2 linked regions of the Oryctolagus cuniculus genome follow. The protein of the gene in region 2 purifies or fractionates together with the protein of the main gene of each other region. This does not show direct contact. Links are inferred from orthologs where the notes say so. Each region holds a gene or a part of one and is shown on either strand. Other genes may lie near its edges. The genes, in order: GDI1 and RAB24.

What was found.
Region 1: the proteins of RAB24 (region 2) and GDI1 purify together in Homo sapiens (affinity purification with mass spectrometry; 3 studies listed by BioGRID and IntAct, counting the BioPlex papers as one, with this or other methods). This does not show direct contact. The link is inferred for Oryctolagus cuniculus from reciprocal best matches to the Homo sapiens genes RAB24 and GDI1.

The regions. Positions count from the first base shown.
Region 1 is NC_091453.1:132,666,121-132,676,754, reverse strand, and holds GDI1 (rab GDP dissociation inhibitor alpha), read right to left. Parts: upstream 8,614-10,634; coding exon 8,569-8,613; intron 7,358-8,568; coding exon 7,250-7,357; intron 7,116-7,249; coding exon 7,016-7,115; intron 6,870-7,015; coding exon 6,735-6,869; intron 6,262-6,734; coding exon 6,063-6,261; intron 5,827-6,062; coding exon 5,695-5,826; intron 4,902-5,694; coding exon 4,802-4,901; intron 4,062-4,801; coding exon 3,890-4,061; intron 3,572-3,889; coding exon 3,427-3,571; intron 3,345-3,426; coding exon 3,290-3,344; intron 3,201-3,289; coding exon 3,048-3,200; downstream 1-3,047. Other genes in the region: protein FAM50A, read right to left, coding at 26-125, 222-306, 1,361-1,471. UniProt on the Homo sapiens protein: Regulates the GDP/GTP exchange reaction of most Rab proteins by inhibiting the dissociation of GDP from them, and the subsequent binding of GTP to them. Promotes the dissociation of GDP-bound Rab proteins from the membrane and inhibits their activation.
Region 2 is NC_091437.1:63,298,208-63,309,214, forward strand, and holds RAB24 (ras-related protein Rab-24), read right to left. Parts: upstream 6,426-11,007; 5' UTR 6,053-6,425; coding exon 5,936-6,052; intron 5,855-5,935; coding exon 5,786-5,854; intron 5,604-5,785; coding exon 5,525-5,603; intron 5,421-5,524; coding exon 5,353-5,420; intron 5,264-5,352; coding exon 5,164-5,263; coding exon of another isoform or gene 5,138-5,163; intron 4,981-5,137; coding exon 4,930-4,980; intron 4,826-4,929; coding exon 4,763-4,825; intron 4,656-4,762; coding exon 4,591-4,655; 3' UTR 4,301-4,590; downstream 1-4,300. Other genes in the region: PRELID1 (PRELI domain-containing protein 1, mitochondrial), read left to right, coding at 6,698-6,789, 7,342-7,567, 8,805-8,918, 8,979-9,081, 9,179-9,327; MXD3 (max dimerization protein 3), read right to left, coding at 10,161-10,282, 10,362-10,545.

The sequences.
Region 1 (10,634 bases), on a different chromosome or scaffold from region 2:
GCCAGGAGGTGCCGCGAGCACCCACAGCTGCAGCTCCTTCGACTGCTCCTTCTTGGCCAGCTGCTTCTCCCGCTCCTTCACCAGGGCCTCCTGCTTGGCCTTCATGTCATTCAGGGTCACCAGACCTGTGAGGCAAGGGGACATGGGGCGGGTCAGCCACTCGGGCCAGCAAACCAGTGGCCCCTGGGCTCCGGCGACGACGGCACATGCGCCCTGCTCACCCACGGTGCTGGACTTGAGCTCAGCCTCCACCGCATCATAGTGCGCAGAGAACTTCTTGTCGATATTGGATTTCATTATGTTCTCCTGTCCGGGAGTGAGAGTGGCGATGAGCACCCGCGCCCGCGCCCCTGCCCCCGCCCCCCGCCGGCTACTCCAGCTGGAAACAGCACGCTTTCAGGAACTGGGTGCTGGTCCTAGATCTGCCCCTCGAGTCACTACAATGTGACCCTGGAAAAGACATGTCCCCTTTCCTTTGTTGATGGAAGGGTCCATGAGGCTGGGGGTAATGTTCCCTGGGTAGCCTGGGACCACCTCACCTTTGGCTGTTTCTGTCTGTAGCCTTTAAGCTAAAGCTCCTGCAGCCCAGAAGAATGGTCAAGGAAGCCAGCCCCTTTGGGAGCGAGTTTTCTCCCTCCAGATTCCCGATGTTGCCAACAGCTTTACCACAAGGCCTCTTCCGTGCAGCCTCAGCCACTTGGTGCCACTGAGCCACCTCTGGGGTCTCCAAAAGATGTGGCCAGCAGAGAAATCTACTTTTAGCTTGCCAGACTGTCCCTGGGCACGCAGGCCTCTGCGACACTGGTTCCCCTGCTGACAGCCCACTCTCACTGGACACTTGCTGAAGTGTTGCTTGGACCACTAGCACCCGAAGGTTCGCCTTTGGTGAGCGAACAGGGCGCACAGAGGATCTGCAATGTGCCTCAATGGCCGGCGGAGAAGCCAAGCTTTGCGGGGCGCCCCCTGCAGCTCTACTGGGGAGAGGGTCTGCCCTTCCCAGTACCCATTGGGTCAGGGCAGGAACCTCGCCCCGAGAGCGGAGGGAATCGAGCCACAATGCGCTGTGCTTGGGAAGGGCCGTGGAGGCGCCCATCAACACAAACACAGAGGGTGACATCTCTCTGCTAGACTCTAGCTACAATCCAGCTAGCTCAAATCCTGGGCCCATTTTACAGATGAGACCCGCTGGCTCGCTTCCGGCTCCTGCTGGAGGTCGACAAGCAAGGGCCCCGCCCCGGCGCAGGGCCAGCCCTCCAAGAACTCGCAGCACGCCGCCCGGGGTTTCCCAGGGCCCCAGCGTCGCACGCGGCCGCCAGGGGGCCCCGGCGGCGCGCATGCTCCGAGGCGCCCCGGCCCGCACCTCTGCAATCCGCTGCTTCATCTGCTCCATCTGCTCGCGCTGCTTTTCTCGTTTCTTCATAAGGTGCATGGCGCGGCCCGCCTCGCTTGCGGCGCCCTTGTATTGAGCCATGGCGATGGCGGCGGCGACACTGACAACGGCCCGGCTGAGTCTCGGCGGTGGCAGTGGCGGTGGCGGTGGCGGTGGCGGTGGCGGTGGCGGCGGCGGCGGCGGAGGCGGAGGCAGAGGCAGCGGCGGCGCAGTCAGCTGACGCGTGACGTCAGTCACCAGGGACTGCGCGGGCGCCCTGCCCTGCCCCGCCCCGCGCCGCGCCGGCCCTCCAGGCACGTGACCGCCGCCCGCCCCGCCCCGCCCCGCCCCGCCCCGCCCGCTTTCCGGGGCTAGGCCGGTTCCCAGCCTTGACTCCCATGCCTCATTGGCCTGGAGGTTGGGGGCCCCGGCTTCCTGCGCTTGCTTATTAACCCTGACTCCACGTTGGAACCCCCTGGTCACCCTATTTCCTCCACCTGCTTGCTGTGGACCTCTACCCAAGGACATAACCCCTAGTCCTCCTGCCTCCTCCCTGCCTGACGTCAGGCCTTGGTTGTCCACGCTCCCCCTCACCTAATTGGCCATTGATCTGGAGACTGGCATCCCTGCTACCCTACCTGGGACTTTTGATTCCCATCCAAAGCGGGGCCCGAGTTCTCTCCCTCACCAGGCCTGAAGGTGGCAGTCCTGGTGCCAGCACTAACTCCCTGGAGGGCCCTGGGCAGATCAGTTGCATGTCAGCCTCCTCTGAAACGCCCTGATGAAGAATGTCAGCTTCCAGAGTCAGACCCCAACGCAGGGAGCCAAGGCCCTGCCAAGAACTACAGACGCAGGCACAGGTTTCAACACGGTTTTATTGGGAGGCTTTGTTTTCCGTGAAATACACTAGAGGTTGGGGAAGGGGACACATTCACTTCGCAAGGTAAGTAAGGGTTTCCCACCACTAAAGGAAAGGGGTGGGGCAGGGCACATGGGGTCGGGATCCATTTTCCCACCTCCTTCTGCTTTGCTCTCATTTCTTCTCTCTCTCAAGTACCAGAGAATGCAAACACAGACAAGAAACCAAAACAGAAGATCAAACTCCACCAGGGCCACACCTAAGCCTTCCCGGCTGCCCAGGCTAGGCCAGGACTGGGAGGGGCTGGGAGAGTTCACTGGACAGCCCCCAGGTTGCTCTAGGAGGATGCAGGCTCAGGTGGGGTGGGCTGCAGTTAATAAATTAGAATAAATTACGGGGAAAAGGAATGCAATTTTGTGCTGGGAGGGCCCCTTCTTTCCAACACACGAGAGTTGGTGGGGGGAGGCAGGGGGCATCTCCAAAGGCCACTACAGTAGGAGTAAGAGCGGTGGGGGCAGAAGCCAGCTTTTCCTCCATGTTCTTCCCAGACAGAGCAGAAGAATTAGGGGCGAGGGGAAGAGACACGCACGAAGAAAGGAACCGTCTTTTCCTAGGATAAGGAAGGGCCAAGGAAGAGATGCTATCCAACCCCCCATCTCCCAAACCATCGCTAAGGTTAAGGATTTGGTCAGTGAATCAATGAGGTGGGTAGTAGGAATGTGGTGGGGGAAGCAGAGATGCTGGAAACAGGGGTGCTGCCGCACATCTCCCTGGCCCTGCAGGACGCAGGAGGGGCGGCGGGGGCAGCAGGGGCAGCAGTCACTGGTCAGCTTCTCCAAAGACGTCGTTCTGTTTGCGCTTCATGTTCTCAAAGTCAAAGGCTGAGCCAGCCATGCGCTTGTAGATGTCCTTGATGTCATTGCAGGTTGTCTCAAAGTGTGTGGTGGCATCGTAGGAGCAGGAACAGAAAACCTGGCAACAGCCAGAGCCCAGGGCCTCAGGTGAGTTGGGCAGGGCGGCCGGGTGGGCGGCCGGGACTTGGGGCTGGGACAGGCACTTACCTGGCTCTCAGAACCATCATCAATGGGCTCGTACAAGTCACTGATAGCCACAAACCTGAGAGGCAGAGACAAGCCTCGCAACAGGCCCCGCCCTTCCTGGTCCTCCCCACCCCCTCGGGCTCCGTGCAACCCCTTACTTCTGGTCAATAGGCTCCAGCAGCTCCAGAGCTGGCTCAACCTCCTTTTCCGGCTCCGCAGTCTCCACTGTGGTGCTGGCAATGGCGATGTACTTGCCCTGCGCAGCCACGTTGTGTGCATAGGAGATCATGCACACGTAGATGTCTGGCCACGGGAAGTGCTCAGTTAGCACGGGCCAGAGTGAACACCATGCAAAGAGAAGGCGCCTAGGGGCTGCATGGGATCCTGGCCCACCTGATCCAATCACCCCGCCCCACACAATGGGCAGCATCCTGGCTGTCACCCTCCCAAGGAGAAAGAGTCCAAGCCACCCAATCCCTGGGGCCCCAAGTCGTGGGGACTGTCACGCGGCTCTCATTTCTGCTGTGGAGGGATCAGGTGGGGAGCCCCAAGGCTGACAGGGAGAGACGGAGCAAGCCCACAGAGAACACCCAGGAGGACGTCACGTGTGCCCCGGCCTACCTGACTTCCTGTTGACCTGGTTCTGGGGGATGATGATTTGGCAGGAATTGGCATCGTTGGTGTTCTTGATGGGGTGGCTGAGGATACAGATGATGCGGATAACCTGGCCAGCCTTCCGGACGCGGTCTGGGATGTAGCTGGGATCACAGATCAGCTGCTTGCAGCGGGCCACCTGTGAAGGCATCGGAGGGCTTTACCTCTGTCCGATCCCTGCCCTAAAACCTCGTGGGGCTGAGCCCACGCACGAGGCCAGGCAGCAGGCAGAGGCTCCACTCTCCTGGAACGCACAGCCACAGCCGGCAGGGCAGGCAGGTGAGTCCAGAAATGGGGTGAGCCCCGGCTGCAGGCACACTGTGATCAACAGTGCTTTCTGCACTACACACAGCTCGTGATCTTTGTGGCTTTTGTTTTTTTGGTTTTTCTTTTAAAGATTTGTTTATTTGAAAGACATAGTGACAGAAGGAAACACACACACACACACACACACACATCTTCCATCTCCTGGTTCCCTCCCCAAATGACAACAGCCAGGGCTGGGCCAGATCTAAACTAGGAGCCTGCAACTCCATGTAGCTCTCCCACGTGGGAGCAGGAGCCCAAGCACTTGGACCATCTTCCACTGCTTTCCCAAGCTATTAGTATGGAGGTGGCTCGGAAGTGGAGCAGCTGGGACTGGAACCAGTGCTCATAGGGGATGCCGACGTTGCAGCCAGTGGTTTAACCTGCTGCGCCACAGCACTGGCCCCAGTACACCACCTCTGAAGGGGACCTCCCGCCAACAGGAATGGCTTCTGGACCCCCAGTTCTCAGCTCTAAAGCCCTGGGGCTGAGGTGTGCAGCAGACCTGGCAGCAGAGGAGGTAGGCGAGCCCCGCCCTAACCACGATGGCCCCATGGCCTGGGGAAGGCTTACCTCTCCCTCAGACTTCACACCCACAACCTTGCCATTCTCCATGATGATGTCGTCCACAGGTTTGTTCAGCATGTATGTGCCCCCGTAGATGGCGCTCAATCTGTGGGAAGGGGAGAGAAGCTCAAGTGCCCCTCCCAGGAGAAATGGGGACCAAGTCTCCTGCACCGTGCCCTGCCACCACTGAGGTATAGAGGAGGCTTCCCCAGGCAGGCGGTGTCAGGACCCTCGGCAGTTTATCCCGGCCAGCACTGTGGGGTAGCGGGTAAAGCCACCACCTGTGACACCAGCACCCCATATGGGTGCCAGTTCAAGTCCTGGCTGCTCCACCTCTGATCCCTGCTAATGGCCTGAGAAAGCAGCAGGAGATGGCTCAAGTGCTTGGGCCCTTGAACCTTCATGGGAGACCTGGAACAAAGTCCTGGCTACTGGCTTTGGCCTGGCCCAGCCTTGGGCATGTGACCATCTGGGGAGTGAACCAGAGGATGGAAGATATCTATCTATCTCTCTCTCTCTCTCTCTCTCTCTCTATATATATATATATATATATATATATGCCTTTGGAATAAATAAATCTTTTAAAAACGTCACATCCCATCTTACTGTGGTCTTTGGAACTCCATGCCTAGAATATCCTGCAAAGGGCTAGTGTGAGGGTGGCCTGAAGGACCAGCGCCACACAGAAAGAGGAGCCTGAGGGACCAGAACAAAGTCCAGCTCCCCACTAAGCGCAGACTCAAGGTTCCTGAGTCTGCCTCCCAGGGCTTTGTGCTGGGGCTGTGTCCCCATCTCAGATGTCAGAGTAGGAAATGCTGTGGAAATCCCCAAGGGAGGCATTGCTATTGTTGCTCTCAGTCCCACTTAGTCATCCCAACTACACAAAGCCACGTTCTCACCTTGCAAAGCCCTGGGGCAGCTCGCCCAGGCCGTAGAGTGGGTATAAGTATGGGCTCTTGCCATACCGGGCCAGGGACTCACTGTACAACTTGATACGGTTAATGGTCTCCAGACAGGGCTGGTCCAGGTAGCTGGGGGGACAGAGGTCAGGGAAGATGCTCCAACAGGCTCCCTGGCTCACCCCACCACCCCGAATGGCCCAGGGGAGCCGGGGGGTCAAGTGCAGGGGAGGGGCGGACAGGCAACAGGGGAGCCTATGGCTGAGTACGAGAAATGTGCAGGGTAGGCAGAGGGAGCAGTGGGCAGGTGTTGGGGAGGCAGGGTAAAGGCCAGGCAAGGGGACCGCGCCACACCAGCTTCCCCTCACTCATCAGTGCGGTAGAGTGCCAGCGCGTGGCCAGTGAAATCAATGACATCCTGGCCCAGGTCAAACTTCCGGTATACGTCACGCATGCTGGTAGTCTGGGGATCGACGCCCTCAAAGGTCTTGGGGTCATTCTCATCAAAGTTTGCCACAAACACCAGGAACTTGCGGAAGCGCCGTTTCTCAAACATGCCCATCAGATCTGAAGAAGGCGGCAAGGGGGGACCCTTTGCACTAGAATACAAAATTCTCCTTCCCGCCCCCCCCCAACCCCACCCCCGTGGGCTGGCCGAGAAAGCTGGCATCCCGGCTCCCAGTGAGGTCTGTCACATGACCTTAGCGTAATCTACCTGTCTCGGCCTCGGTTTCCCCACCCATGTGAAGAGGGGGTTGGGCCGGGCACACTCTGAAGGCCCTCTTGGCTCCGACACTTAGAGATGTTCCAGGGCTCAAGCGGAGCCCCTGTCACAGGCTTCCGAAAAGGAGCACCCTCCACTCCTCTCTGCACGCGGATCGCCCTGCTAGCAAGCCGCTGTGAGGTGAGGCACATGGCAGCAGCAGGAACAGAGCAAGGGCCATCTGCTACCTCACAGGGGATGCAGCCTCGGGCGTACAGTGGCCGGCTCCCGGTGTCTACCTTGCCACCCGCCCTGAGGTCGGGAGACCCACACTCACTGGAAGCCAAGGCCTCGGTCTCAGTGGATGGCACTTTGTAGATCTTGCCGCCTTTGTAGACAAAGCTGCCCTCCACCACCTTGAAGTCCAGGTAGCGAGTCACCTCCGTATACAGGAGCATCTTTACCAGCTGCCCTGTGGTGGGGACAACATCAGCACAGCTCCCTGCAGGAGCTCTGGCCAGCCTGGCGGGCCCTTGTCTGGAGCCCAACCCCCTCCGGTCCTTCCCAGTCACCACCGCGCCCCTAGGAAAACCGCAGCAGCTCCTCCATCTCCCTCACCATTGGCCATGAGGAATTTGGGGATCAGGTCAACGTTCCAGTCTCGGCCCCGGCCCATCGACTCAGGGGGCCCCTCCAGCAGCTGAAAACGCTTATATAACTGTAAGCAGGAGGGGGAGAGAGAGAGACACCTCAAGGACTGGCCCTCCCTCTCCCTGCCACCCGCTGCTGCTACACTATGGCTCCAGTGAGAGGTTTCCAAGGGCCCGGCCTGGGCCAGGCTGGCAGCCTTACCTCTTCCAGGGGAGTGATGGAGGAGCTCTCGCCCCCATAGTAGGGGTTCCGGTCCATGTGCAGCACCTTCTTCCCGTTCACAGACATGATACCAGACAGGATGCACTCCTAGGGGTGTGAGGACAGCCGGTGCGCTCCCACCTGCCCACTTCGCACCAGCAGCCCTGATCTGTTCTCCTCCCCAAGCCTGCCACAATGGACAGCTCCTTCCACGCCCCCAGCCTCCGCCGCCGCCGCCTTGCCTAACACTGGTGGCGATGGCTACATCCGCCCGTCTCCTTTTTTACCCTGCTAAGCAGAGGTGAACCAGAGAGAAATAATGAAGGAGTCGGGGGAGACAGAGTGTCCAGCAGACACAAGGACAGTCTCATGGCACCGACTGCCAAGAAAGTCCTCTATCAGTGCAGAGCCGCACAATCCGGCAGATAAGACACAATGAGGCACACAGCGGACCTGGCCAGGCCGCAGAGGGCGCCCAAAAGGGAAGTGAAGAAAGGCACTTGGACTCTCAGGCCCCACCCTCGGCTGCTCCGTCGTCAAAGGCCAGGAGCCCCTGACCCTAAGCCTTCCCCACCTGGGCTCAGGAGGGGCATCTGGGCCTGGCCTGAGGGAAATGTGTCTCTCAGGGGAGCGGGTGAACACGCTGTGGGGGAAGGGGGACGATGAACATTCTCCCTAGTCACTGTCACCAGCCCAAGGACAAAGGCTGCAGATATTGCTCAGCCTCAGGTCTCCATGGGAAACCAGGGTGGGGGAGCGGGAATGTGGTCACTGCCCTCGCTGTTAGTTATTCTGGAACATTCCCTGGCTCTTCTGATCCCAGAAGCAGCCAGGAACACAGGACGAGGCCCCAACCTGGCAAGGCCCCCTAACCCCAGGTCCTCGTACTTCACCCCTACTAAGATTAGTATAAGTTGGGGGGGCACAATACTAGGAAGGTGATGGGTGGGGGCGATGGGTGGGGACTGGATGGGAGGGACTGGGGGGCATCAGGCCGAGTGGGGGATACGTTTTCCGGCCCAGCAGGGCAGGGTAGGGAAGATGGGAGAGGCCGGGAGTCGGCACCAGGGAGTCAAGGGAGCAGCCAGGAGACCCCGCTTCGAGGTCATGGCAGCGAGCAGAGAAGACGTCGCGAGGCCAAGGGGGCTGGGGAGTGGGGAAAGAGAAGGCAGTGGGGTGGGTACGGGGCTGGCGTTTCGGGGACCCAAGGGCAGAGGATAGGAATGATGGGAGGATGGGTTTGGCGGCCAGCGGCTGCATCATCGCAGGGATTCGGGAAGGCACGAAGCGGAGGCGCAGGCGCCCGAGGCCACACTTACGGTGAGGCCGGTCCCCAGCACGATCACATCGTATTCCTCGTCCATGGTCAGGCCTTGGTACCAGCGCCCGCTCGGCTCCTCCTCCCGTTTCACCACAGCAGCAGCCGCCGCCGCCGCCGCCGCCGCACTGGACCAAAGATGGCGGCACTTCGAACGCCGCCTGACCCCTCCGCCGCGTCAAAAAGTCCCAACACTTCCCCAGGCCCCACCACGCCTAGCAGTGATCACCGCTTCCCTGGCTTGCCTCCTAAGAGGGTTGCCGGTACTCGGGCCCTAGCACCAGTGCGGCTCTGCCGGCGTCGCCGTTTGCCAAGGACCCAGAGGAAGCTAGGCGGGGCGGTCCGATGACCGGTACTGCGGTCCGAGAGGGATCCGTGCGCGGGAGCCGCGCGCGCCCCGCCCCGCCCCGCCCCCCGGGAGGCTCCGCGCGGCCCCGCGGGCCGGGCACGCGCTGCTGCAGCAGCCGGGGGCGGCCCCCTCACGACGCTGAAGCTGCCATTGTCGCGGCGACCGCTGTCCCGACCACTCCTTCCCTACCTTAACCGGTTAGGGGCCCAGTTTGCTAAAAGAGTCCCTGGCGGGCCCTGGCTCCTGGATTTTGGCCTGGCTGGGATACATCTAGGGCCACCTCCCCCCCTCCCCGCACCCGCCCGCCCTCCTGCCCTCCTCCCATCCCTCAGTCCAACGCTTTCCTCATTTCTAGTCCAGAAACGAATGACAAGAGGCCCAACGTGTGGCGACCCATCTTTATTTTATTAGGAAGGAGACAATGGAGCATGCCAGGCTCCTGCCAGGCGCTCCTGAAACACAGTGGTCACGCCCAGCCCACCTGTCATGGAGGTTCCTTCCTCCTGAAGTCACAGAAATAAACCCCAGCACAGTGTTGATTGTTAACACAACATCACCAGGATACAACAACGACAGCCAAGCGGGACACAGAAGTGGTCACTTCCACATTCTGCCAACCTCGGGCAACCTGAAGCTCTTGGCTGCTGTAGGGAGCCCCATAAAGCTGGGGGAGGGAGAACTTGCTACACAAAAGCGCTATGTACAGCCAGAGCTTATGGTAGATAGAGAAGAATAAATAAGGGGAGGAGAAAGGGGACCCTAGAACTAATGCCCCTGTGCTTTCCCATGGCTGACCCGGGAGACAGGCCTAAAATCTATGCAGAATATCTACACCTTGTCAGGAGGGCTGGGAGAAGCCTCGGGGAAGCCCCTCCGCAGGCTGATGAGGGAGTGAGACAGGCTGAGGGGAGCTGGGGGTTCATGCTATGGTAGCAAGAGGGGGTCCTTGGGTGCCATGTACCATAAGGTGGGAAAATGACAACCTGGACACCATCACAACCACAACCCCTCCCCCCTGGCACGGGGTCACACGATCTGGGTCAGAGAGATGGCAGGGCCCTTGTGGTCATCAAAGCGATCCATGGTCTTGAGGCTGAGGATCATGTGCAGGCCGTAGGTGAAGATGAAGAGCATGAAAAGGGAGGTGAGCAGCCCCATCCAGATGCCCGGAGAGAAGAAGCCGGCACAGTCGCTGGCGTAGGAGAACTGCTCACCGCTCACGTTGAAAGCCTGAATCTGGAGGACACACAGACACAGGTCATCAGGGATGAGGTGGCTACACACGGATGGGGGACTCAACAAGAGCTGGGCTCCGGGACACAGCAGACAGCCCATATCCCACGGCCAGGGCGGCGCAGGAAACGGAACCCCAACCACGTGCCCGAGCCCCAGTGAAGCTAAGGCTTTCTGTAGGCCCCCCAGGCCGGCAGCCTGGGCCCCTCCCTGCTGCAAACCTGGAAGTCGTGCAGAGTCATCTGCCACAGGGAGGGCTGCGTGCGGGCCACCAGGAGGCTGCCGTCCTGGGCCAGACTGCTGACATACTCGCAGTGGAAGGAGTAGATGCTGGGCCCCGTGACCTGGGAGGCGTTGAAGTAGACGACGGAGCCGTTGCCGTGGATTTCCAGGCGCTCCATGGTAAACCAGTGCCGGGCAGACACTGGGTAGAAGCGGTTAGCCAGAACGAACCTGGCAGAGGCGGCAGCGGTGTGAGGCGAGCA
Region 2 (11,007 bases):
TCTCCCACGTTCCTACCGCGGTTACTCCATCACTTCCAAGGAGGGAACAGCAGTTGTTAGAGAAGCATTTGCGCTTTATAGAGAGAATAAAAATAGAATCTGCTTTTATTTCCCAAAGTCTGTCTCTAGGGTTGAGACACTTGAACTCAGGCAGAGGGACGAGGCTGGGCAGGGCTGTCCCAAGTTTAGGGACCTCTCCCTGCATTTCACTGAGACCTCGGAATCTCCTCTGTGAATTCCACCTGCCTAGTTCTCCCCTTTCATGCTAACTCTTCCTAATCACCAGGGAGGAAAAGCTCTTTGTTCAAAAGGAAGAGAAAACATAAAGCATCTTATTTTCTTTTAAAAGAATTTTAAACCATGAAAAAGATATTTTTAAAGAAAATTCATCCAGAACATGAAAGTTGACTATATTAAGTATTTATCATGTGTGAGAATACGTATATAACTGCAGCTAGTAGGTCCCTTTCCCTGATCTCTTAGGTTGTATGAGTAGGGTTTGCTTGGTGCCAGTCCTGTGCCCTTTTCTCTCCTGTCATCTGTAGTTGTGATCAGAAGATGCCCACACTGCACTGTCGGCATCTTTTCACTGTGTTGTGTGCTAAATTACCGTAGCTCTTTGTTCCATGAAATAAACTGTGAATCGGGGGGGTGGGGCGTGCAGGCTATGTAAAAATGTAAGTGGAGAAGTTTCATCCTGAACTAGCTTCACTGAAGTAGGCTTTGGTAGGTAATTGGCTAGACGGCCATCTAGACAGTGTCTCACAAGACAGGAAGGACTGAGGGAAAGGGGGCCGTGATTAGCCACTCTCCATTCTCCACCATTCACTAGAGGCTGCTTTCCAGACCTGCCTCGGAAAACAGCTTGTGAGCCGTACCTGGTTCTGGGGGTCAGTTCTTCACCTGAATGGATGGACATCAGGCTTCCATCAGGGCCACTGAAAGACTCTCAGGTTGTGGATTGGAAGCTGGACATTGGAGCTTTTAGGTCCACTGACAGCGGCATCTGATTTTAGATTGTTAAAATCATGAAAGCAGTCACTATCCAACTATAGAAGTAGAATCAGAACTATTGGAAATGAGACTCTTAAGTGAAGGTGGGGAGGGAGTGACTTCGCCAGCCCTTTTAGACTTCCTCAAGCCTATAAGGAGACCCTTTTCCCTAAGAGGGTGCAACTAGGCAGCTAAAGGAAACCTTTTATCATTGTGCAGGATTGGTACTGTGGTATTTGGATCTCAAGATAGCCTGCTTTCGACCCGGCTCCCTTGGAGGGCTTTTTGAGGGGCAAGCTTGTAAAGTCAGAAGAAATTATGGAAACGTTTGAAGTTTGCATTCAAAGCCTTATTTGTTTCTCCTGGTGGAGCCAACCCATTCTAATAGCAAAACAGCTATCACCGCTCCAAAGTGTCCACGTTTTTAAAAAAACGTCTGCTTTCTCCTGAAGTCCCTGAGTTTGATGATGTAAATCACTGTGCTGATCCACACCTTTAGCATTGATTTAAAAAAAAAAAAAAAAAATACAACTTCTATTCTTTGAATCCCCCACGCACTACAGTCAGGACATGAACTCACAGTCCTGTCCCGGGCTCAGCACCACCTGCTCGCTGGAGCTGCCCCCCCCAGGCTGCCTCATGAGAGCAGAACGGCAGGAAGGAGGTCCAGTCCTGGCACTGTCCCCGTGGAGAGGGATCAGGAAAGCACTGAACTTGCTCCTATAAAGTGGGTTTTCTCCTAAGGCTTTGTTTTGGAATAGTGTCACCCTCTTGGGGCTTATCGGCCAGGTCTGAGGGGCCCAGTGTCCTGTGCTCTGTGGATCATGGCAAGAAAGGAATTGCCTCAAGCCCCCTTCCCCTGCTGAGTAACCTCCGAGCTGTTCCATGTTAGACATTCCAGATCATTTAAAGCTAGGTGGCTGCAAGAGGCTTTGATTGGCTGTGGCCAGTTAGCTCTCAGCTGAGCTTCCTAGGGCCAGGGCAGCAGGGCCAGAGGTTGCTGTAGCTAAATTGAAATAAGAGTAGATAATTGCTTTGTATACAAAAAAAAAAAAAGTAATGATGGTGCTAATTTCATGGTATAAATAAGCACTGCCATGGATTGAGGGACTGGTGACTTGAGAAACCCAGGTTCCTACTTGGGAGATTTATGTAGAAAGGTTTTTTTTCAGGCTCTGTTAGAGGTGAGGACCCAGCAGAGCCTCAGCAAAGCCTGCACCCAACCCTGGAGTTAGTCCAGCATTCTCCAGAGGTGGAAGAGATCCCGTGTCCAGATGAAGGTGGCCATTGAGTTTCTCAGGGCTGGGGTCACCTTGTCCATAAGCCTCCGTCCACACTGCCTGGAACAGGTTGGTAGAGCTCTGGGTGTGGGGTCTCCCTGGGTTACCTCCTGCCCCTCTCTACCTCTTCCAGTCTCATGGGAGCACCTCTATAGCTCATGAATATGAAGAGTAATATTTCTTAAGGACGTGGAAAGAGTTTATTTTAATTAGAAATCCACAGCCTTGGAAGAAATGTGTCTTACAAGTGTAAGCAAAAACAGCCTGTTCAACTCTTGTGTAGCCCTCCTTTAGAGCTGCTTTCCCATGGCTTTGAAAACATCAGGCTGTTAGAGGGCTTCAGGTTTAACACCCTGGAAGTTGAGCCGAGCTTTGTGGACAAGAGGCAAGCACAGGAAGCAGAAGCAGAAATGGTTCTGGGTGCTTTAAACCTCTAGGGTCGGGCAGAGCCAGCAGTGTCCAGGTGTACGGTGGGTGCTGCCTGCATGCGTGCAGGTGATGAGGTGTGTTGGATGGGCAGTGCAGCACACAGGAGCTCCTGGAAGAGCAGCTGTTTAGGTCTTGGCAAAGCAACAAGCTGATGACAGAGATCTGTCTTTATATTTTTAAGAAAGGGGGACGGGGGGTCGGGGGTCAGCCAAGGTCCGTCACGGTTTTCTCTGCCCTCCCCCCTCCCCGGCCCCACAGATTGTCAGCTGTTAAGTGAAACTCCTAGTGAAAAAGAGGGAGCCCTGTGCTAGGAGTCTCCATAAACATGTACTGTAATTCTTTGTATATAGAAAAAAATTACTGTAAAGTAAAGTTTAACTTTACTCTTATGGCCCTTGCCCTGTGTTTTGTTTTATTGTTTCTGGGGAGGTGTAGCCTAATAGGACAGAGGACTGGTCTGGGGTGAGAACAAAAGCCACCCCAGAGAGTTCCCCAGTGGGCAACACAACAGAGCTGAGCCTCCCTCCAGGCCCTTGATGGGGGAGTAGTGTGGGTTTCCTCCCCGTGGCTATGGGCTACATGTCTGTCTTGTTGGGAGTGGTTGGTATCAGTTTCAGTCCCCTTCCACAGGAAATCTCCATCACTCGTGAAGGAAGTGTATTTTGAGGAATTGGTTTTTTAAAAAGGAAGTAGAACCAAAGCACTTTTCAAATGAGTCAGAGCTTGTTGGTCAAGTTTTACATTCTTAAGAGGCAGGTGTTGAGTACTGTACAAGGCTCAGTCTGAGCATAAAGGCAGCAAAGCAGTGAGTTGGAAAGTGAGGCTCCTGGTGCAGGGCAACACCTCCCATACCCGAAAAGGCTTCTTGTTGAACAGGGAGCGTTGGCCCTGGGTACCCTAACCCATGAGCCTTCAGAGACACTTGGACCTTTAAGGCCTGATACCTTTGGGAGAACCTCGGGAGTCTGCTTCCTGCCTTTCCAGCAAGAAGCTGTCAGAGGAGGAGTATGGGAAGAGCATTTGGTACCAGAGTTCATTTTCCCCTAGGATGCTCACGGTCCTGAGCTGGGGAGCAGCCCCCTCATCTTACAGAGGAGTAACTCAGGCTGAGTGTGTGGCTGCCTTTCTAAGTAGCTAGCTGGGATCCAAATCTGGATCCATGAGACCTTTCTGTCTTGCAGAACTGAATGACTTTCCTTCCATTAAGCCACACTGTGGAATGTCTGGGAAGCTCAGGATCTGAACAACAGGCCTGACTCACAGGCCCAGGCACGACAGACGCGGTCAGGCCTACCAGGCCCCCTTATTATCTAAGCAGGGCTTGCCCCTGCTGCACAGGCTGAGTGCTCTCCTTGCCTTCCTCTGCACCTAGTAGGAATGGTGAGCTTTGTAGTGCCCCGACCCCAGCCTCTCACTGAAGAACAGCAAAGAACCTCTTGTTTCTCCAAGGGCTCCTCTGCAACCCGGGGCTGAGGTTCCTTGGTTTCCAAAGGAAAGTAAGAGATAGGAGGAGCCTTAGTATAGAAGTGAGGCCAGGCCGGTGCTCTCAGAGCTAGGTGTCTTGACACCGGGTCCACACAGCAGGGAAAGGGGCTGAGTGTGAGTCACAGTGCACTGACTTTATTTACAGATCAGAAGCCACTTAAGTAATCTGCAGATACAAGTGTTGTCCAGGGCAGAAGCCTGGGGTCCAGATCGGTCCTTAGCCCTCCTCATGCCCACAGCCAGCCCACACTGCCTCCGTTCCATGGGCCAGCACAGGCCGGTGCCACCTCTGCTGCCATGGGGACCTGGGGTAGCTCAGACGTTGGACCACCTGAGCCCAGACAAAAGCTGGGTCCAGCCCCCTGGGGAATTCCACTATTCCCCAGGCCAGGTGAGTGGCGAGTCAGTGATGACAACAGCTGTAGAAGTAGGGGTTTGCCTTCTGGCCCAGATCCACGCCCTTGTCCTCTGTGAAAGAGAGGTGGCAGCTTAGCACCTAGCTCCGTGGACGGGGTCAGGCGGGGCTCGGCGGGGCTCGACGCCCCGGCTGAGAGGCGGTCCGGGGGAGCACACACCTGTCATCACTTGGAAGGCAGCCACGCTGACGTAATCCTCGGCCACTTTCTGGAAGAGCTCGTCTGACAGGAAGAGAGGGCCGGTGAGGGCCCAGAGGGCTCGTCTACTCTACTGCCTGGGGTGCCCCTGCCCGTTCCTGCTGCGAGGCCCCAGGACCAGCACTCACCCACACTCTGGCCTGTCTTGCTAGACGTTTCAAAGAGCTGAGCTTTGATATCTGTAAAGAGAAGTGACGAAGCCTCACACCTGAGAATCCAGTAGACAAAGAGGGAGCCTAGCAGTTCAGAGTCTCCCAGACCCCAAAGATGCAAGGAAGCCAAGCAGGTACCTTGCCTGTAGCCCACCCAAGCAGCCACTCCCCGCCCGCATCCCACCCCCTCAGGGGCTGAGCAGCAGCTACTGTCTGCATAGTCCTGGACATCGTGGAAGTCCACACGCCGCCGCCGCCGGTCCTCCTCCAGCAGGTCGCTCTTGGTGCCACACAGGTAGATCTGACAGCCCTGGAGCAGAAGCCAAGGTCAGGGTGGGCTCCACGGACCCACTGAGCTCCCACCCCCAGGCCCCCATCCAGCCAGGTGTGGCCACCCACCTCCTCCAGGCTACGCAGCTCCTTCACCCAGAACTTGGCTCGCTCAAAGCTGTTGCTGTCCGTAAGGTCTTGGCGTGGGGCATGCAGGAAAGGCGAGCGAGGGTCAGGGGTTGTTCTGAGGCCCGCCAGGCACCCACACCTTGCTTGAGGAATAGGCCAGAACCCCTCTTACCATAGCAGACGATGGCAGCCTTGGCGCCCCGATAGTAGATCCTGCTCATGGCCTCATAGCGTTCAGAGCCTGCTGTGTCCTGAAAATCAGGGGAGGACTGAGCCCCGGCCTGGGTTACCAGGCTAGAATCCCCCATGACTGCAAAGCAAGCCCCAGCCTCCAGAAGGGGAAACCAGGGCCTGGGGCTGGGCAGTGGCCTCGGGGGCCCAGGTCAGAGCCCCCCTCTGCAGACCTCGCGAACGGGGTGCCCAGGAAACTTACCCAAATCCCTAGAGTCACCGTCCGATCTCCTACAGACATCACCTTGGCCACGAAGGCAGCCCCGATGGTCTGCAACGAGGGGCAGGCGGTCAGGTCGGCGGGAGCGTGCCGGCCCCTCCCCGCGCGGCCGCCCCGAGCTGGCGCACTCACGTTCTGATAGGGCCCCACCAAGAAGCGGTCGTGCACGTAGCGCTCCACCAGGCTCGTCTTGCCCACGTACTCCTTGCCCAGCATCACCACCTTGAGGTCCACGCGGGGCCCGCTCATGCTCCTGGGGCCGCCTCACCCACGGCGGGGTCCTGAGGCACACCCGACCTCCGCTCGGCCCCTAACCCCACGCGCTAGCCCGGCGCTCGAGGCCCCGCGTCAGGCCAGAGCTCGGCCCCCGTCCTCCCCGTCTGCCTCCGCTCTTCTGCCTGCCCCGAGCGCCGGGTATCTTCGGAGAGCCCAAGACCCCGGCCGGCCTGCGAGCGCGCGGGCCAGCGAACCTTGGCCGCGCCGCACGCCGCCGTCCCGCGCTCGCCCTCCGGGTCGCCCGCCCGCCGGCCCGGCTGGGACTCCCGCTCGGGGTAGGCTTCCCAACTGAACCCGGAGTCCCCCCTGAACCCTGCTCTGACCCGCAGCGAGCGCCGCGACTCCGGAGGGAGGGGCGCTAGGCCGAGGGGGCGGAGCCGAGAGGTCACGTGGACGGCGCCGGAAGTGGTGGACTGTGCCGCCGCGCCGGAAGTGGCGCGCGGCTGGCCAGCTCCTCATGGCGGCGGCGGGCAGCGGCTTGGGCGCGGCGCGGAGGTGACTGACCTGAGCTGCGAGCCTGGCGGGCGTGCGCCGAGCCCCGGCCCGGCCTCCGCGTGCCCCCGGGCTCCGCACGCCTGATGCTGTGCGGACGCTGAGTCCGCCCCGGCCGGACTAACGATGGTGAAGTATTTCCTGGGCCAGAGCGTGCTCCGAAGTTCCTGGGACCAAGTATTCGCTGCCTTTTGGCAGCGATACCCGAATCCCTATAGGTACGTGACTCTGGGAAGAGCAACCCCCGGCACCATCTCCGCCCTGTCGAGATCGAAGTGCGGGCGATCCCCCCAAGTAATGGGGCTAAGGGGAACCGCGGATCGAGGCCGACATAGGGCTTTCCGGAATCGTGACCGCCTTAAGGGCAGCAGGCCTTATCTAGGAAGTGGCCGGGCCGGACTCGGAAGGCCCTGGGAGGTGGCTGGGCCTGGGCACTGGTTTGCCAAGGCCCTCTCTGTGGACGTTGGGACGGGAAGAGACGGCCGCACGGGCCCTGGGAGGGATCTTGGGGCTGCAAGTCAGGCACTTGCCCATGGGTCTGCCCGTGCAGGAAGTCACGAGGCCCCGCCCTGCCGGGAAGCCAGGAATCCAGGTCAGTGAGGTAGGGCAGCAGTTGGAATTTGCCCTGGGATAGTCTGAGCCACAGCCCAGATCACTGGGCGAGATTGCAGGGGTGGCGCGCTGGGCAGGGCTGCCCCAAGTGGGAACCCCAACGGGGAGCTTCCCTGGGGGCAGGTTCCCGATGGTCACCTGCACTCTGACACCTGCAGCAAACATGTCTTGACTGAAGACATAGTCCACCGGGAGGTGACCCCTGACCGGAAGCTCCTGTCCCGTCGACTCCTGACCAAGACTAACAGGATGCCCCGCTGGGCAGAGCGACTATTTCCTGCCAATGTTGCTCACTCGGTGTACATCCTGGAGGACTCTATAGTGGACCCACAGAATAAGACCATGACCACCTTCACCTGGAACATCAACCACGCCCGGCTGATGGTGAGACCTCCCCGGGGCCCCTACCCCCACCCCCCGAAGCACACTGCTCAGGAGCAGGTGGCTAGGGAACCGAGGCAGATTCCTGAGGACCGGGTGGCCCGGAGCCTGCCCTGCCCCTGCCCTGACTCAGCCGTGCCCTGGGGGAGAGGCACCTGTTTCAGGAAACTGCGTGACGCGCCTTTGGGTGGGGCCTGCAGGAGTGATGCTGAGGGTGGGCGTCCATCAGATGGCGGCCTTGCGTGCACCTCGGGGAGCGGCTATGGCCCCTTGCTCCACTTTCTTTTTTTTTTTTTTTCTTTCAAGATTCATTTTTTTTTATCTGAAAGGCAGAGTTCCATCTGCTAGTTCAGTCCCTAACTGGCCGCGATGGCTGGGGCTGGGCCAGTCTGAAGTCAGGAGCCCAGAGTTGCTTCCAGGTCTCCCCTCCCAAGTGCAGGGGCCCAAACGCTTGGGCCATCTTCTGCTGCTTTCCCAGGCGCATTAGCAGGGAGCTGGATCAGAAGTGGAGCAGCCGGACTCGAACTGGTGCTCCGATATGAAATGCAAGTGTCACAGGTGACTTAACCCACTGCGCCACAACGTCCCCACCCCCTGCCCCACACCACTCCCACTCACTCCAGAAGTGTCTTCCTCATCTGATGGGAGTGCTCCAGAGATTGTGGGAAACATCACCTGTGCTCTCTTGCCCGTGGCTTGAGAATCATTCTACAGCGTCTCCGCTGGCCAGTGCATGCCGGGAGGGCTCCTGCAGAGCTATTGCGGGCACCAAGCAAAGCCCCTGTGTACGGCACCCAGCACTGGTGCCCACGTGCAGCGTGTGAACACCCTGAAAGCTTCAGAGAATCCCCCTCCCCAGCTTGTTTTCTCAGCTCACTTACCCAGTCTGCAAAGAGGGAAGTGAGGGCCAGAGAGGGGAAGTGTCCTGCCGGGCTGCGGTGAGCGCGGCCGCACTGTATCCCGCTTTCTGGGCTCCTGCCCGGTGACCGCGGGGGCCCATCTGGCAGGGGGGTGCTCTTTCCGAGGAGGCCGCAGTCGGCGGGAGCCAGGCTGCACACCCCGTACGCGTCGAGGCATAAAGGCTCCCGACACCCAGGGGTGTGGCCGCCTGGTCCCCCGACCCTGGCTGGGGATGCGCCATGGGGAGGAACCTATTTTCACACCGGTACTTCTCAGACTGATGCTGGCGTTGGTAAAGTGAGAGACTCCGTGGTTGTGGTTGGTCTGACTCCCCACACAGATGGTGGAGGAGCGATGTGTTTACTGTGTGAACTCAGACAACAGCGGCTGGACTGAAATCCGCCGGGAAGCCTGGGTCTCCTCCAGCTTGTTTGGCGTCTCCAGAGCGGTTCAGGTGAGTAGTTGTCAGCGGGGCTGTGGGGCCCGGGCCTCTGCCGTCCGAGCCGGCTTCTAGGATCCTCCCCTTGTCTCTTGCCAGGAATTTGGTCTTGCCCGCTTCAAAAGCAATGTGACCAAGACTATGAAGGGCTTTGAGTACATCTTGGCCAAGCTGCAAGGTGAGAGCTCGGGGCAGCCCCTTGGGAGCCTGGGCCGGAGGCGGGGGGGGGGGTGTCCACCCTCTGTACCTAAAGCCGGCCCTGGCCTTCGCTGCAGGTGAGGCCCCTTCCAAGACGCTTGTTGAGACAGCCAAGGAAGCCACGGAGAAGGCCAAGGAGACGGCGCTGGCAGCTACGGAAAAGGCCAAGGACCTGGCCAACAAGGCCGCCACCAAGAAGCAGCAGCAACAGCAGCAGTTCGTGTAGCCAGTCTGGCCCTGCTGGGACCCAGGCCCTCCCCAGCGCTGCCACTGCACCCCACACAGTGCGCTCAGCCCCCCACCCGCCCCCTCCTGTGTACTTTATTATTAAAAATCCACTTCCAGCCCTCTCTGCTGTTTGGGGGTGGGTGTCAGCCGCGTCCGAGCCCGGGCGGCTGCTGGCAGAGGTGCAGGGATCAGTGGCGGGGAAACATGACAGACTGTAAGCTCCATGAGGGCAGGGCTCGGTTCTGTCCTCCGATGTGTCCCAGCCGCCCGGAACCATATCTGTGCATAACAGGCACTCAATAAATATTTGTTGAATTCACTCCGCGCCAACTCTGGAGTCAGAAAGCGCTGGTTCGAACCTTGACTCCGCCGTGTGCTGCCGGCCCCAGGCAAAGTGGGTGCCACTGGTGGCTGGGGTTTTCCCCGTCCTCATCAGGCAAGACCAGGAGCAGAAGTTACAAAAGAGGCTTTTAATGCGAATACTGTGCAGGACACGAGGCACAGAGGCCAGGGTGCCATGTCCCGGGAGGAACGTGAGGGTTCAAGAGGCTTCCTGAGCCAAGTGCTACAAACAGGCCTGGAAGGGGGGCGGGCAAGCAGGCCCCTTTCCCTGGAGAGGCTTGGGGAGGTCCAGGCGCCTCCAACCCCCAGAGTCCGCCTGGCAGCCAGCAGCAGGGTAGGCCAAGCACCTGTTCCCATGTAAGGGTCCTTTTAGTCCGTGCCAACAGATGACTCCAGACAGCCCTTAAGGCTCGGAGGGGTTTCTGTCCAGGGGCTCAAACCAGCATGCGCAGAAGGTGAGGGTCGAGGCCACCAGGGCAGAGCCTGGCGTCAGAGCCAGGCGCCGGCGCTGTACGAATAGCTGTGCTCCCGGCCCGCGCCGAAACCCCGCAGCAGCTCCGCCTCGCCCCCAAACACCAGGCTCTCCACGTCCACGTCCACGTCCAGCTCCTCTGCACAGGGAGGAGCCGGTCAGAAGGGCCCACGGCCACGCGCCAACGCGCCACGCGGCCCAGGGCCTCCGGCACTCACCTTGATCCGAGTCCGAGCGCTCCGAGGAGAGGCCCGACGAGTCCAGGCTGTGCGCGCGCAGCCGCTCCCGCTCTCCGGCGCCCGGCAGCCCGCGCAGCCGCTCCAGCTGCTGCCGCAGGCTCTGCTGCTGGCTGCGCAGCCGCTCCTTGAGCCGCCGGGCCCGCTGCTCCTGCTCCTCCAGCTTCTGTGGACCAGGAGGAGCAAGGGCGGGGTCAGCCGCCTGGGGCCTGCCCAACGCTGCCCGCCAGATCTCCCCGTGCAAGAGGAGCTGGGAAGTCAGATTTGGTTCAGCGAATGGCCTTGGGAGTGCTGCCAGCTAATTTAAATTGTTAGAAAGCTGCAGACCGAACAAAGCTGCCAGTGTCTAACTGCGGCGCAGCTTCCTCCCCTCCCAGGAACCCTGAGACTTTGGGCATCAGTCCCCAGGGGGTGGGGGGCACCCCTGCCAGCCGCGAAGCTCCAGTGGCTGGACAGCCAAGAGGTCTCCTGGGCAAAGCCCCAGGAGGGCAGCCATTCAACCAGAAGGGGAGAGTGGGCGCAGCAGCACCGGGACAGGGCAGAGTCTGTGCGGAGTGGCTAGAGGTGAGACAAAAACAGCAGCCAAGGGGCTTGTGTGGGGCCTGGCGTCTCACAGGAAGTAAAGCTC